Linked DNA regions of Tamandua tetradactyla. The protein of the gene in region 1 purifies or fractionates together with the protein of each later gene. This does not show direct contact. Links are inferred from orthologs where the notes say so. Each region holds a gene or a part of one and is shown in the gene's direction. Other genes may lie near its edges. The genes, in order: POLR2C, MED19 and MED9.

Region 1 (3,748 bases):
TCTCATTTAAGCACCAGCCAATTAAATCAAACATCATTCATTGCAGCAGGCACACCGCCTAGCCGACTGCAGATGTAATCAGCAACAGATGAGGTTCACATGCCATTGGCTCATGTCCACAGCAATAGATCTAGGCATGTTCACCTGGCCAAGCTGACAAGTGAATCTAACTACCACACTGAGAGATTCCAAACAGAGTTGAGGGGCTATCCTGGAGTTTATTCTTACACATTAAATAGATATCACCTGTTTAGTTAACGTGTAATGGAGAGGCTGGAGGGAACTGCCTGAAAATGTGGAGCTGTGCTCCAGTGGCGGGCCGTGTTTCTTGAAGATAATTGTATGATGATATGGCTGTCGCAGTGTGACTGTGTGGTTGTGAAAGCCTGTGTCTGATGCTCCTTTTATCTACGGTATGGACAGATGAGTAAAACATATGGATTAAAAATAAATAAGGGGGAACAAATGTTAAATTTAGTAGATTGAAATGCTGGTGATCGGTGAAGGGAAGGGGTAAGGGGTATGGTATGTATGAATTTTTTTCTGTTTTCTTTTTATTGTTTTTTCGGAATTGATGCGGAATCAAGAAATGATCATGATTATGAATGTACAACTATGTGGTGATAGTGTGAGTTATTGATTATATAACAAGAACGGAATGATCATATGATAAGAATGTTTGTGTTTGTATGCGGTTATGTATCATAAATAAATTAATTTTTTTAAAGCTATATACATTCAGGACTGGGGGCAATGTCAAATTTCCCTGCGAAATGAACCTGGTGCGTTTTGAAGCAGTTGGATTTACAAAAACTTCCTTCGATAGTCAGGCCCGGAGCAGTTTTGGTCTCCGAACAGCAGGAGACGCTGTGAGCGCGTCTTAGCGGAAGTAGCCGGGGCCTGCAGGCGACTTCCGGTATGGGCGGCCGCTGAGACGCCGCGGAGCTGACGGCAGAGGCTGGGCCGGCTGCGAGGCGCAATGCCGTACGCCAACCAGCCCACGGTGCGAATCACCGAGCTCACGGACGAGAATGTCAAGTTCATCATTGAGAATACGGACTTGGCGTAAGACTGCGGAGGGAAGAGACTGAAGGCTCTAGTGCTAGAGTGTCCCAGGGAGGGGAGGCTGGGGACCTCGTATCCTTCCAGAACTGGCACCTCCTGTGCCAGGGTCTTCGCTTGGGAAGTGGGGCCGGCCGTGGCGGCGCCTTCACCCTGCTTCATTTTCCCTCCTCAGGGTGGCTAATTCTATTCGGAGGGTCTTCATCGCCGAGGTGCCTATAATAGGTAAGCGACTTGGCCACATTGCCTCTCCACCCATGGGGCTTCTGCTGCAAACCCTTGGGTGAGGCTGGGGGTAAGGGTGGGGTATAGCTGGGAGCACTGAGAAAACAGCAATGCTGGAGACTTACCTAACCCCATGTCCTTGGCCTGGCCACTGTTGGTCACTTCCCTGACTCTCACGGGTCACTTAGGTCCACCGTTCCATATACACTGGCATTTAGAGGGGACAGACTCGATTTCTGCTCTGGTTTTCCAGGTACTTGATATATTGACAAGTATACTACAGAATTTTCTGAGTGTCTGCTCCCAGAGTTTTGCTTAAGCAAAAGAAGAATGTTATAGGTACTGCATCAGTGTGCAGTCTATTGTGAAATGAACAGGCCAAGTGATAAGCCACAATGTTATTTTGTGGCTTATCTCCCACCTCGGCACCAATCACTTCTTCAACTCAGAGCATGGAGTGCTAGTTGGACTTAATGATACAGCCTGAATTCTGAGTCTAAATGCCACTTGTTCCACAAATTCAATTCTGCAAATATTGGGTACTTCCTACAGTCCAAGCCACAGCCAAGAATACAAAGGTTAAGGTATCTCAAGACTCTACTGCAAAGAATTTTCAAAGCTAGAAGTAGAGTCAAGGTGCACACAAATAAAATACAAGGCAAAATATGATAAATGCCTTGAGAGGTTTGGACAGTTTTTTGAGTGAGTTCAAAGGGAGAGAGTGATTGCTTATGTCTCATGGAAGGCAGGCAAGGCTAGGGTTTTGGAGAATCAGGATTTCAGCAGGCAGAGGGGAGGGTAAGGGTATATCAGGGGGAGTAATGAGGCAGAAACAGAACAGCTTGGGTTATGGTCCTTTTTCGGCTGAAGCAAATGGCTTGGGTTGGGGAAGCAGTAGAAAGCATAGCAGGACAAAGGAAGTCAGGGCTGGCTAGGGCTGGCCTTCTTCTGACCCCATTCCTCATGTTTAGGCCCTTCATTTGAATGAATGAACGTGTGTTTAAACAAGTATATGTGAGAATAGAGCCCTTTTCCTCCCACTAGCTCATTAGAAGGTATGGGGTTCTATACTTAGTATGCCTTGTCTGTTGAGGAATTCAGTTAACATGAATTGATTTAATAAAGTGCAAAATTGGGTGAACTGGTCACTAGTTCATAAACTGAGATAAGGGCCATAAGTCTGTGTTACTTCTGTGAGGTTTTACCCAATTTTTAAATGTCCAAATAATTTGTGTTTTTGGAATTCATGTTCCCATGGGTAGCAAATTAGTGCTTCTCATGAAAGTATTCAGCACAAAGAAATATGTTCCCACTCCCAGTCTCTAAGACAATGTTTTGTTTTTGTGATAACAAAGACCCCTTTGCATTACATTCACCGTGTGTCTTGTTAAAATGAAGATTCCTGGGCCACTCTAGAGCTGTAGGATCAGTCTCTGGCAGCCTGGCCAAGGCACCTATGATATAATAAATAGCAGGTGATTTCTAAATCTCACAAACCACTACTCTTAATTCTGTAGCTGAATTTGGTGGCTAAACTGCATCTCTGTTTCCTTCACTTTTAGCCATTGACTGGGTACAGATTGATGCCAATTCCTCAGTCCTTCATGATGAGTTCATTGCTCACAGGCTTGGTGAGTGTTGGGTTTGGGTGTTGGAGGGTGCAGTGCCTGGTAGAAACCTTACTTGCATCCATCGTGGCATCTTCTAGGTTCCCTTTTGGGTTGGCTGCTTAGCCTTTAAAGTGTTTTTTTTGTGTTTTCCAGGATTGATTCCCCTCACAAGTGACGACATTGTGGAAAAGCTACAGAACTCCCGGGTATGCTTTGTGGTTGAATAAAAGGGGAGGCAGAGTGGGAGATGCCTACCTACAGTTCTCAGAGTGGTTTTGCCCAACAGTCTGGATATGTCAAGAACCTGAGACAGGGCTTGGTCCTCAATTCTGACAGGGCTTCAGATTCAGTAGGCTCAGGGGGCATCAGGAAGTCCCATTAGGTAGCCACACAAGAGGATAGTATATACCCCAGAATGCTCATTTATACTGAAGAGTGAGGGCTGTATCTTCTCAGAGTCTGAGCTATTCAGACTCTGTATTCCAGGGCCTCTCTTCCCAGTGACGGAGGCTTAGGAGGCTAAAGGAAGTCAATGGGAAGTTGGGATGGTGAAGGAGAGGAGCAGAAGGATTGGGAGCTGTCCCACAAGAACTGCACCTGAGGGACTGGCTATTCGTGTCTGCCAGGTTCATGCCCCTCCCCCGCAGGTGCTGCAGGTTTGCTCTCTACCTGTACGTTTGCTCTCCCAGAGGATGCAGTAAAAGGTCTTTGTCAGACTGGGGATAGAGTGGGATTGGGTTGGGTTCCCTTCACTAGGGCTGCATTAGGTAATTTGAGACTATTAGCTCATGATGTCTTTGGGTGATCCTGAATTGACCCTTTTCTAATATTCCCAAGGGCATGTCATTTCT
Region 2 (3,748 bases), on another chromosome or scaffold:
TTTTAACAATTCCTTTACAATAGGTCTAACAATTTTATTCATCCTTGCAGTTCAGGATCCAGTATGCCTGGCATATATAGGTTGCATCCTGGAAATGTTTACTGAATTAAGCGGTGACCTAATGTGTAGGTACTATGGCGAAAGAGTGGTTTTAACTTCCAGGCACTCACTAGCTGTAAGACTTGGGACTAGCTGCCTAACCACGATGAGGTCAATTCCCTCGTCAGTAAAACGGAAATACTACTACTTGCCTTACCGACCTCGGTAGCTCCTTAAGTTGTTTTTAAAAAGTGGGCAGCAAAGAGCTCTGAGAAGGGGAAAGCGTTGCACACGAGGAGAAAGGAAGACCACTGATAAGCGTGAACGATGAGATGGAAAGACACGGTGAGATGGAAAAACCCTGGGGCTGTTATGCAGTACGTGGGACCGACCGGCTGCGCGACCCCGAGAAGACCACGCCTCTCTGTTTTCCCACCTTGGAAGACGTAGAGATCGCGACGCAATGGCAGTCAAGGCCCTACGCTCTAAGTCCTTCAGTCCGCTACAGGCTCGGGACCTCGGGTATCCTCAGAAAGATGAACCCCGGGGCTCCCAGACGCGCTCGCTGGGGTAGGGAAAGTCAAGGTCGCGGGTGCCAGGCGGGGGTCGCTCACCCAGTCAAAGTCACAAGGGTTACCATCTTCGCGTTGCGTAGGGAGGCCGCTGCATACTGGCGGGAGCTTCCTCACGAGTAGGAAGGCGGCAGAAAGCAGGGCTGACAGAAGGTAGTAGGGTCGGGCCAGCCATCGTGAAAGTCGCGGCACCGAATACACCAGAGCAATTAAAGGTGCGAGGACCGCCATCTTCCCGGCCCTTGCGGCGCCCGCCGCTCACCGGCCGTGGTAGGTTTGGTCCCGGCTCCCCTCTCCTTGGTACTTCCATTGGGCCGAGTTCCGGATGCGCCGCCCCTTGACCCGGAAGTAGGTCCAGATTGGCTTCTATGGCGCATAAAAGGCGATGTGAGCCACTATTGGCCAATCTGGCAATCCCTCTTCCTACCTAAGTCGTTTTACTGGATCTGAAACTGTAACCAGTGGAGCTATCAGAAAATTTAATAAGGTTAGCTAGCACTTCCCGAACGTTCCGTGAAAGCGACGGAAGTGGTCGCCGGAAGAAGGCAGGCGGGCACAGAGGCATCCAGTGCTAAGCGGCTCCGAGAGTCGGAGGGCGTTTCCCGAGGCGCCGCTGGGGCCATGGAGAATTTCACGGCGCTGTTCGGAGCTCAGGCTGATCCACCACCACCCCCATCCGCGCTCGGATACGGACCCGGAAAGCCTCCACCCCCGCCTCCGCCCCCTCCGGGAGGGGGACCCGGTACCGTTCCGCCCCCTACGGCGGCTACGGCCCCTCCCGGCGCCGACAAGTCAGGGGCTGGTTGTGGCCCCTTTTACCTGATGCGGGAACTGCCAGGTGGGTGCTAGGCATGGCCGAAACCAGCCAATCAGATCATAGAGAGCGTAGTGGGCGTGCCTGTCAGCTGGCTGGTGCCAGGTAACCGAGGAATCGCGTACCCTGACAGTGGAGCTCAAAGCCGAAAGATCTCTGAGGATCAGCCCCCAAAGCGATGGCATGGATTCATGGGATGGGGAAAGGGGGTTGTATCTTCCACGCCACATCCGGCCTGTGTCCCTGACACTAGTTTATGTTTCCCTAAAAATGGCCCAGGGTTTGAGTTTGTATCTGGAGAGGCCTGATTTAACATCCCAGGAAACCTAAGTTTTCAGTTTCAAGTCGGCTACAATCTTGTTGGTTTGGGGTAAGTTGATTTCCTTCCTAGGGCCTCGGCATTTCTTCAGCTGTGCGAAGAAGGGTTTGGAATTGAACCAGATTCTTTTAATGCAAAATTTTATTTTGTTGAGCACCCTACTGTGTACCAAGCACTTTTCTAAATGCTGAGGCTACAGCTGTGAACAAGACTGACAAAATCCTTACGTTTTTGAAGTTTACATTTCAGTGGGTAGACACATAAGTGAAATAATATAGTTAGTGATTAATGCCAGGAGGAGAAAATATGATAAAGAATGGAACAGGAGGAACTACTTTAGCTAGCGTGATCAGAGAAGTGCTCTCTGAGTAGATAAGATTGGAACGAAAATCAGCATGGAGAAAGGATAAGCCCTGCATGTGTGGAGAGAGGGGATAATTTTAAAAACATGGTATGAAAGCTAAATCTCTGATGTGAGAAAGATTTGGACTAGCAGAAGACAAATTGGGCCCAGTTAAGTGAACAAGGAGAATAGTGGTAGGAAGTGAAAGTGGGAGAGGTAGGCAGAGGCCTTTACACCATAATGTAAGATTTTAAGTTCTAGGGGATGCCGTTGTGGATTTTAACACAAGGGAATGTCATGATCTAATGTATTTCTTTTTAAATCACTTAAGCAGTCATGTGAAGAATGGAAAGTGGGGAAGAGTTGATGGTTTAGACTAGAGCTAGGGCAGTAGAGGATAGAAGTGAATAGCAGCAGAATAAATTTTAAAGGTAGCGCTAACAAAAGATGGATTTAAGTAAGAAATTGATAATGACTTCTAAGTTTTTAGCTTGAATAACTGGATATATGGTAGTGCTGAGACTGGTTGGAGGGTTTTGAAATAAAGTCTTTTTGGACATAAGTGTCTGAGAAGCTTTTTTGTTCAGCCCAGGTCCTACTACCACATTATAGTTGAGGGAGATGATAATAACAATTATCAGTGCAGTACTTTATGCTATAACATTTAATATAGAACAGTCCCTTGACTGTTATCAGCATTTTATAGTTGAAAAACTAAAGCTTAGAGAGGTGAGCCTCCAGCAGTTTCTTTCATCTTTCCTTTGTCTTACTCATTTTGACTGTACCTATATATACATCAATGAGTGGACAGATACGAAACTTCTATTCTGGGAAACTACTGGGTATGTGGTAATGACAGCATGTGGTGGGAAAGGGAGAAAAAGTAGTATGTCTGGTCCTTGTTTTTAAGGAGATTTTTTTAGTTGTAGATGTGAAATATGTGGTTTAGGGATAAAGTAAGGGAGTGTATTTCTAGTCAAAGCCAATCTCATTACTTTGTGGTCAAATTTCACATATATAGCAACTAAAAATAATACCATTGCAAACGATATTGAGAACTACATGAAGGTTTTCAAAATGTGTTCCTTATCATCCACAGTGAGAGCAACAGTAAAATGTGACTTGAGATGGACCATGAAGAATTCATATTGGTGAAGAAAATTGGGAAGAAATTTCCTAAAAGGAAACACTATGAGGGGTGGGTTTTTCTTTTCAGGAGATGATAGAGACTTATCTTGTTGACTGAAAAATCTTGCATAGGCGAGTAGTGATAAGGCCTCAAAGATAAATTGGGATAAGATGCACTTAGTCGTCAGTGCCAAAGAAATTTAACCTTTTCCCTGAAGGTAATAGGAAACCACTGAGATTTTTGAACTGAGGAATACAGCTTTTTAAAAATGTCTAGAAACCTTGAGATTTTGTTGGTTTGTCCAGAGTGATGCCCCGATAAATCCCAAAGTGATTTGAACAGTGAATAAAAAAGTATTTGCAAAGTCCCCTTGGGGGAATGGTGAGAAAGGGGGAAAATTCAACTTCCCCAAGTTGAATTCTTGATATCTCACAAGCAGTGGGGACAACCAAAGCAATAGGCTGAGCCCCCGATCTTGGGGTTTGTTCATATGAAAATTAACCCCACGAAGGATAGGTCAAGCCTACCTAAA
Region 3 (3,748 bases), on another chromosome or scaffold:
TACAACTTAATAAATTTCCCTTTTTAAAAGCCATTCCATTTCTGTTATATCACATTTCTAGCAGCTTGCGTTGCCCCAGACAATTCCTAAAATAAAACTCTCACTATTTACATATTCTGTTGCTCTGGCAAACCCCAATACACCCACCAAAACCCCACCTCTCTGGCCTGGGATGCTAGGAGGTCCTTGTGCAAATGAGACCTTTGGGGTCAGCCACATGACTGCATTCCAGGGCGATGCGGTTGAGGCTCGCCGCGACCCTGAACCAGGTAAGGCTGTAGGTGTGATGAAGCTGGTCCGCCGCGAGTACCTGAGGCCATTTTCCCTCCGGCGGCGATACTGACCCATCCCTCTGTCTTCTGTGGGCGTTGGGACTGTCCCCCTCCTTTAGAAGTCCGCCCAGCCCCTGCGGCCAGCAGGTGCTCTCGCCACCTCGTCGGCCGGCCTCCGCAGTCCTAGGAGTTCTGCAGGCCCACAGCTGGCCGTCTCTGGACCCTTCGGGCTGGCCCAGGGTGCGGCCGCGGGAGAGCGGCGCCAGCCCGGGTGGCGTCTTCTCCTGGGCGCGGTGGGGTACGGCCAGTCCCCCGCCCCGCCATTCCCGTGGGCCCCCCCGGAGGCCCCCCAGGAGGCCCTGCAGGGGCTGGGCCGCGCCAGGCCTAGTCATCTCACGGCTTCCGGCTTTGGTTGCCTTTCTATCCTCGTCGTCAGCAGAACAGAAATAAAGACTGTGTTATTTTTGGAAATAAATCTCCTAATTCTGAGTAGTTAATAATTGAGTTATCCTGACCCACAGCTCATGCAGGCCACCCCAGGCCCGCCAACACGCCGTCGCCTAGCAACAGCATTCCCCACCCGCTCCCTGCGCTTCGGCTCCGCCCAGGCGGCAGTGCGCACGCGCAGAGCCGCCTCCGCGCCCCGACGCCGCGCAGTAGTGACGTGTGCGACCCGCGACGCTTCCGGTGGGTGGGCTCTTCCGGGGCGGCCTGCTGACCGACTGACCGTGCCTCCCGTGCCATGTCCTCCTCCGGGGTGGCCGGCGGGCGTCAGGCCGAGGATATCTTACCGCCGCCCGCCGAGCCGTCGCTGCCCGAGACCAAGCCGCTGCCGCCGCCCCAGCCGCCGCCGCCGGCCGCCGCGTCCCAGCCGCAGCCGTCGCCGGCACCGAGGCCGCAGTCCCCCGCGGGCGTGAAGGAGGAGGAGAACTACTCCTTTTTACCTCTGGTGCACAACATCATCAAATGGTAAGGGCCTCCAGGAGGACTCGCCCGCGACGTTCCCGCCTGCCTCTTACACCCGTTTCAGAGCTGAAGAGGCCTGGGCTCTCTTAGGCCCGTCCCGTTTTACAGATGGGGAAACTGAGACCCAGAGGGAGAAGAGAACTTCCCGAGACCACACAGGGACCTTCCAGGCATTCAGCAAACGCTCTGAGCCCTCAGAGTGGCCAGGCCCCTGATGGCTGGTTGATGTGAACAAAAACGAAGCCAGTTTAGAGACTGAGTGCACTGGCTTTGGTATGAAAGGGCTCGCATGAAGTCAGTTAAGCCTCTGTGACCTCAGTTTCTCACTTCTAATATCCGGATAATAGAACCCTTCTTCCTTTTTTCATTTAGCCAAAAGTTATGGCTCTTCTTCCCTGTGTGGCGCTACTTGCTAGGGGATGTTCGGATTTAAAAACGCTGTATTAGTTTAAGCTGCCAGAATGCAATATACCAGAAACAAGGGGCTTTTAAAAGGGGATTCAATAGTTACAAGTTTACAGTTCTAAGGCGGTGAAAATGTCTAAATTAAGGCACCCGTAAAAGGTTACCTTCAAGAAAGGCTCCCGCCCTCTGAAACACCTCTGTCAGCTGCAAAGGCACGTGGCTGGCGGCTGCTGGTCCTTGTTCCCAATTCTGTTGCTTCCAGCTTCTGATGCCAGTGGTTTCCTTTCTAAGCATCTGTGTGCCTTCACTTCGCATCTTTGGAACACAGTTCTGGGTTCTAGTTTACTTAGCATCTCATGGGTACGGGCATGTGCTCTCTCTGTGTTGGAAGCATCTTTAAACATCCATGTCTCTGTCAGCTCCGAAGCAGTTGTTCTCCAAGCTTCTGTATCTGTGTCAGCTCTGAGCTCCCTCCAAAATATTTCTCCCTTTAAAGACTCCAGTGAACTAATCAGGACCCACCTGAGATGGGTGGAGTCATATTCCATCTAATCGAAAGGTCACACCAGCAACTGGAAGTGCCACATCTCTGGTGATAATCTAATCAAAGGGTTTCTGCCTTACAATATTAAATCAGGATTAAAGGAAACAGCTGTCCCCACAAGATTGGATCAGAATTAGAACATGGCTTTTCTAAGGTACATAATAGTTTCAAAGCGGCACAAGAGCCAAGTTTTCACCCCCATATTTCTTACCAGCTAGTAGAAAAACCCTGACATGAATATGAATAGCCCATAATTCAGACAAGAGAGGAGAGGGGCGGATGAGGGGGAATCTTAAAGTTGCCCCACTGGATTAGATCCCCTGATTTGACCTTCATTCTAGCATGGTTATCAGAGGGGGTGGTTTGTCATCCTTTTGACCAGCCTTCAGGTAAGCCTGAATTTTCAAACTGACCCCTAAAAAGGAAAAAAAGTTTCTCTAAACCCCATATGTACTTAAATTATTTTTCTTGTTATATTACTTGAATATATAGTCACATAATACTAGGTGTGCTTATGCTTAGAACCCTTATTCAAAATGAAGTACATTAAAATTACCACTTCAGGAAAGTTCAAACGAGCATTAATGTGCTCTGTGAGGTTTTGCTGAAATGAAATTGCTACTCACAACACGAACATACTATTGACAGCCTAAATTCTTTTGAGGTTAGCCACCCTCAGTTCACTTGTCATGGGTGACATGACGTTTCCACTGCTGTTTTATTCAGACAGCTCCAAGACCCTTGCTAGGCCCTGATGCCCGTGGGCTTTGCCTGGTGTGAGCGCACCATGTGTAACTTAGGGCAGACTCGTTAGTGTGACGGTCAGGTAGGGCAGACTCTCAGGTAGTATTTCCTGGCAGCAAACAGAAAAGCAGATGCAGACCCTGCAGTCCTGGCAGAAATGAATTATAAAGGCCTTAGCCAGGTTAACACGAATATGCATACCAATTTTAAGAAAGCTCCAAAATGAGAACAGAAGGCCCAGATGCTTAGAGATACCTCTTGGACCCACAGGAGGTGCGTTCCTGAGCCCTAGAGGAGCAATGGGCTTGGGCAGTTGAGTATACTAGAGAGAACACAGGCTTCGGAGGCAGAAGGCCTGCATTCAGATCTGTGCGCTGATGCCTTCTTACTTTATAATCTTGCTAAATACTTAACTTTTCTAAGTCTTAATTTTCTTAACTCTAAAATGTGAAAAACATGAGTTCACATTACAGCTCTGAAACTTACTGACTGGGTGACCTTGGGCAAGTAACTTAAATTCTCTGTGATTCTTTTTCTCTTATGAAAGGGATAGTTTTTAGAAGCATAAAGCGAAAGAACAGGATAAAATATGGTTACCACAAAGTGGACACCCAGCCCTTAGCAGTCTGAATCCCAAGCCGAAAGCAGTCTGCCCTACAGAGAGCCAGGGCCTCCCCCAAAATCTCAGGAGTTGGCAATGCCAGGAACTGGAGTAGGGGTGAAGGTGAGAGACCACCAAGGATCACCTAAAAGTAAGCCAGATCTCAGTCTTCTGCCCCGGCTCCAGGCCACCAGATGACTGCCCTTCTTCCGTCTT

The links.
Region 2: the proteins of POLR2C (region 1) and MED19 purify together in Homo sapiens (affinity purification with mass spectrometry; 4 studies listed by BioGRID and IntAct, with this or other methods). This does not show direct contact. The link is inferred for Tamandua tetradactyla from reciprocal best matches to the Homo sapiens genes POLR2C and MED19.
Region 3: the proteins of POLR2C (region 1) and MED9 purify together in Homo sapiens (affinity purification with mass spectrometry; 3 studies listed by BioGRID and IntAct, with this or other methods). This does not show direct contact. The link is inferred for Tamandua tetradactyla from reciprocal best matches to the Homo sapiens genes POLR2C and MED9.

What each region holds. Positions count from the first base shown.
Region 1 is NC_135342.1:51,145,672-51,149,419, forward strand, and holds the start of POLR2C (DNA-directed RNA polymerase II subunit RPB3), read left to right. Parts: upstream 1-902; 5' UTR 903-979; coding exon 980-1,065; intron 1,066-1,237; coding exon 1,238-1,287; intron 1,288-2,849; coding exon 2,850-2,918; intron 2,919-3,050; coding exon 3,051-3,103; intron 3,104-3,748. UniProt on the Homo sapiens protein: Core component of RNA polymerase II (Pol II), a DNA-dependent RNA polymerase which synthesizes mRNA precursors and many functional non-coding RNAs using the four ribonucleoside triphosphates as substrates.
Region 2 is NC_135335.1:19,876,195-19,879,942, forward strand, and holds the start of MED19 (mediator of RNA polymerase II transcription subunit 19), read left to right. Parts: upstream 1-1,016; 5' UTR 1,017-1,232; coding exon 1,233-1,449; exon of another isoform or gene 1,450-1,542; intron 1,543-3,748. Other genes in the region: TMX2 (thioredoxin-related transmembrane protein 2), read right to left, coding at 654-842. UniProt on the Homo sapiens protein: Component of the Mediator complex, a coactivator involved in the regulated transcription of nearly all RNA polymerase II-dependent genes.
Region 3 is NC_135332.1:1,176,596-1,180,343, forward strand, and holds the start of MED9 (mediator of RNA polymerase II transcription subunit 9), read left to right. Parts: upstream 1-969; 5' UTR 970-1,014; coding exon 1,015-1,241; intron 1,242-3,748.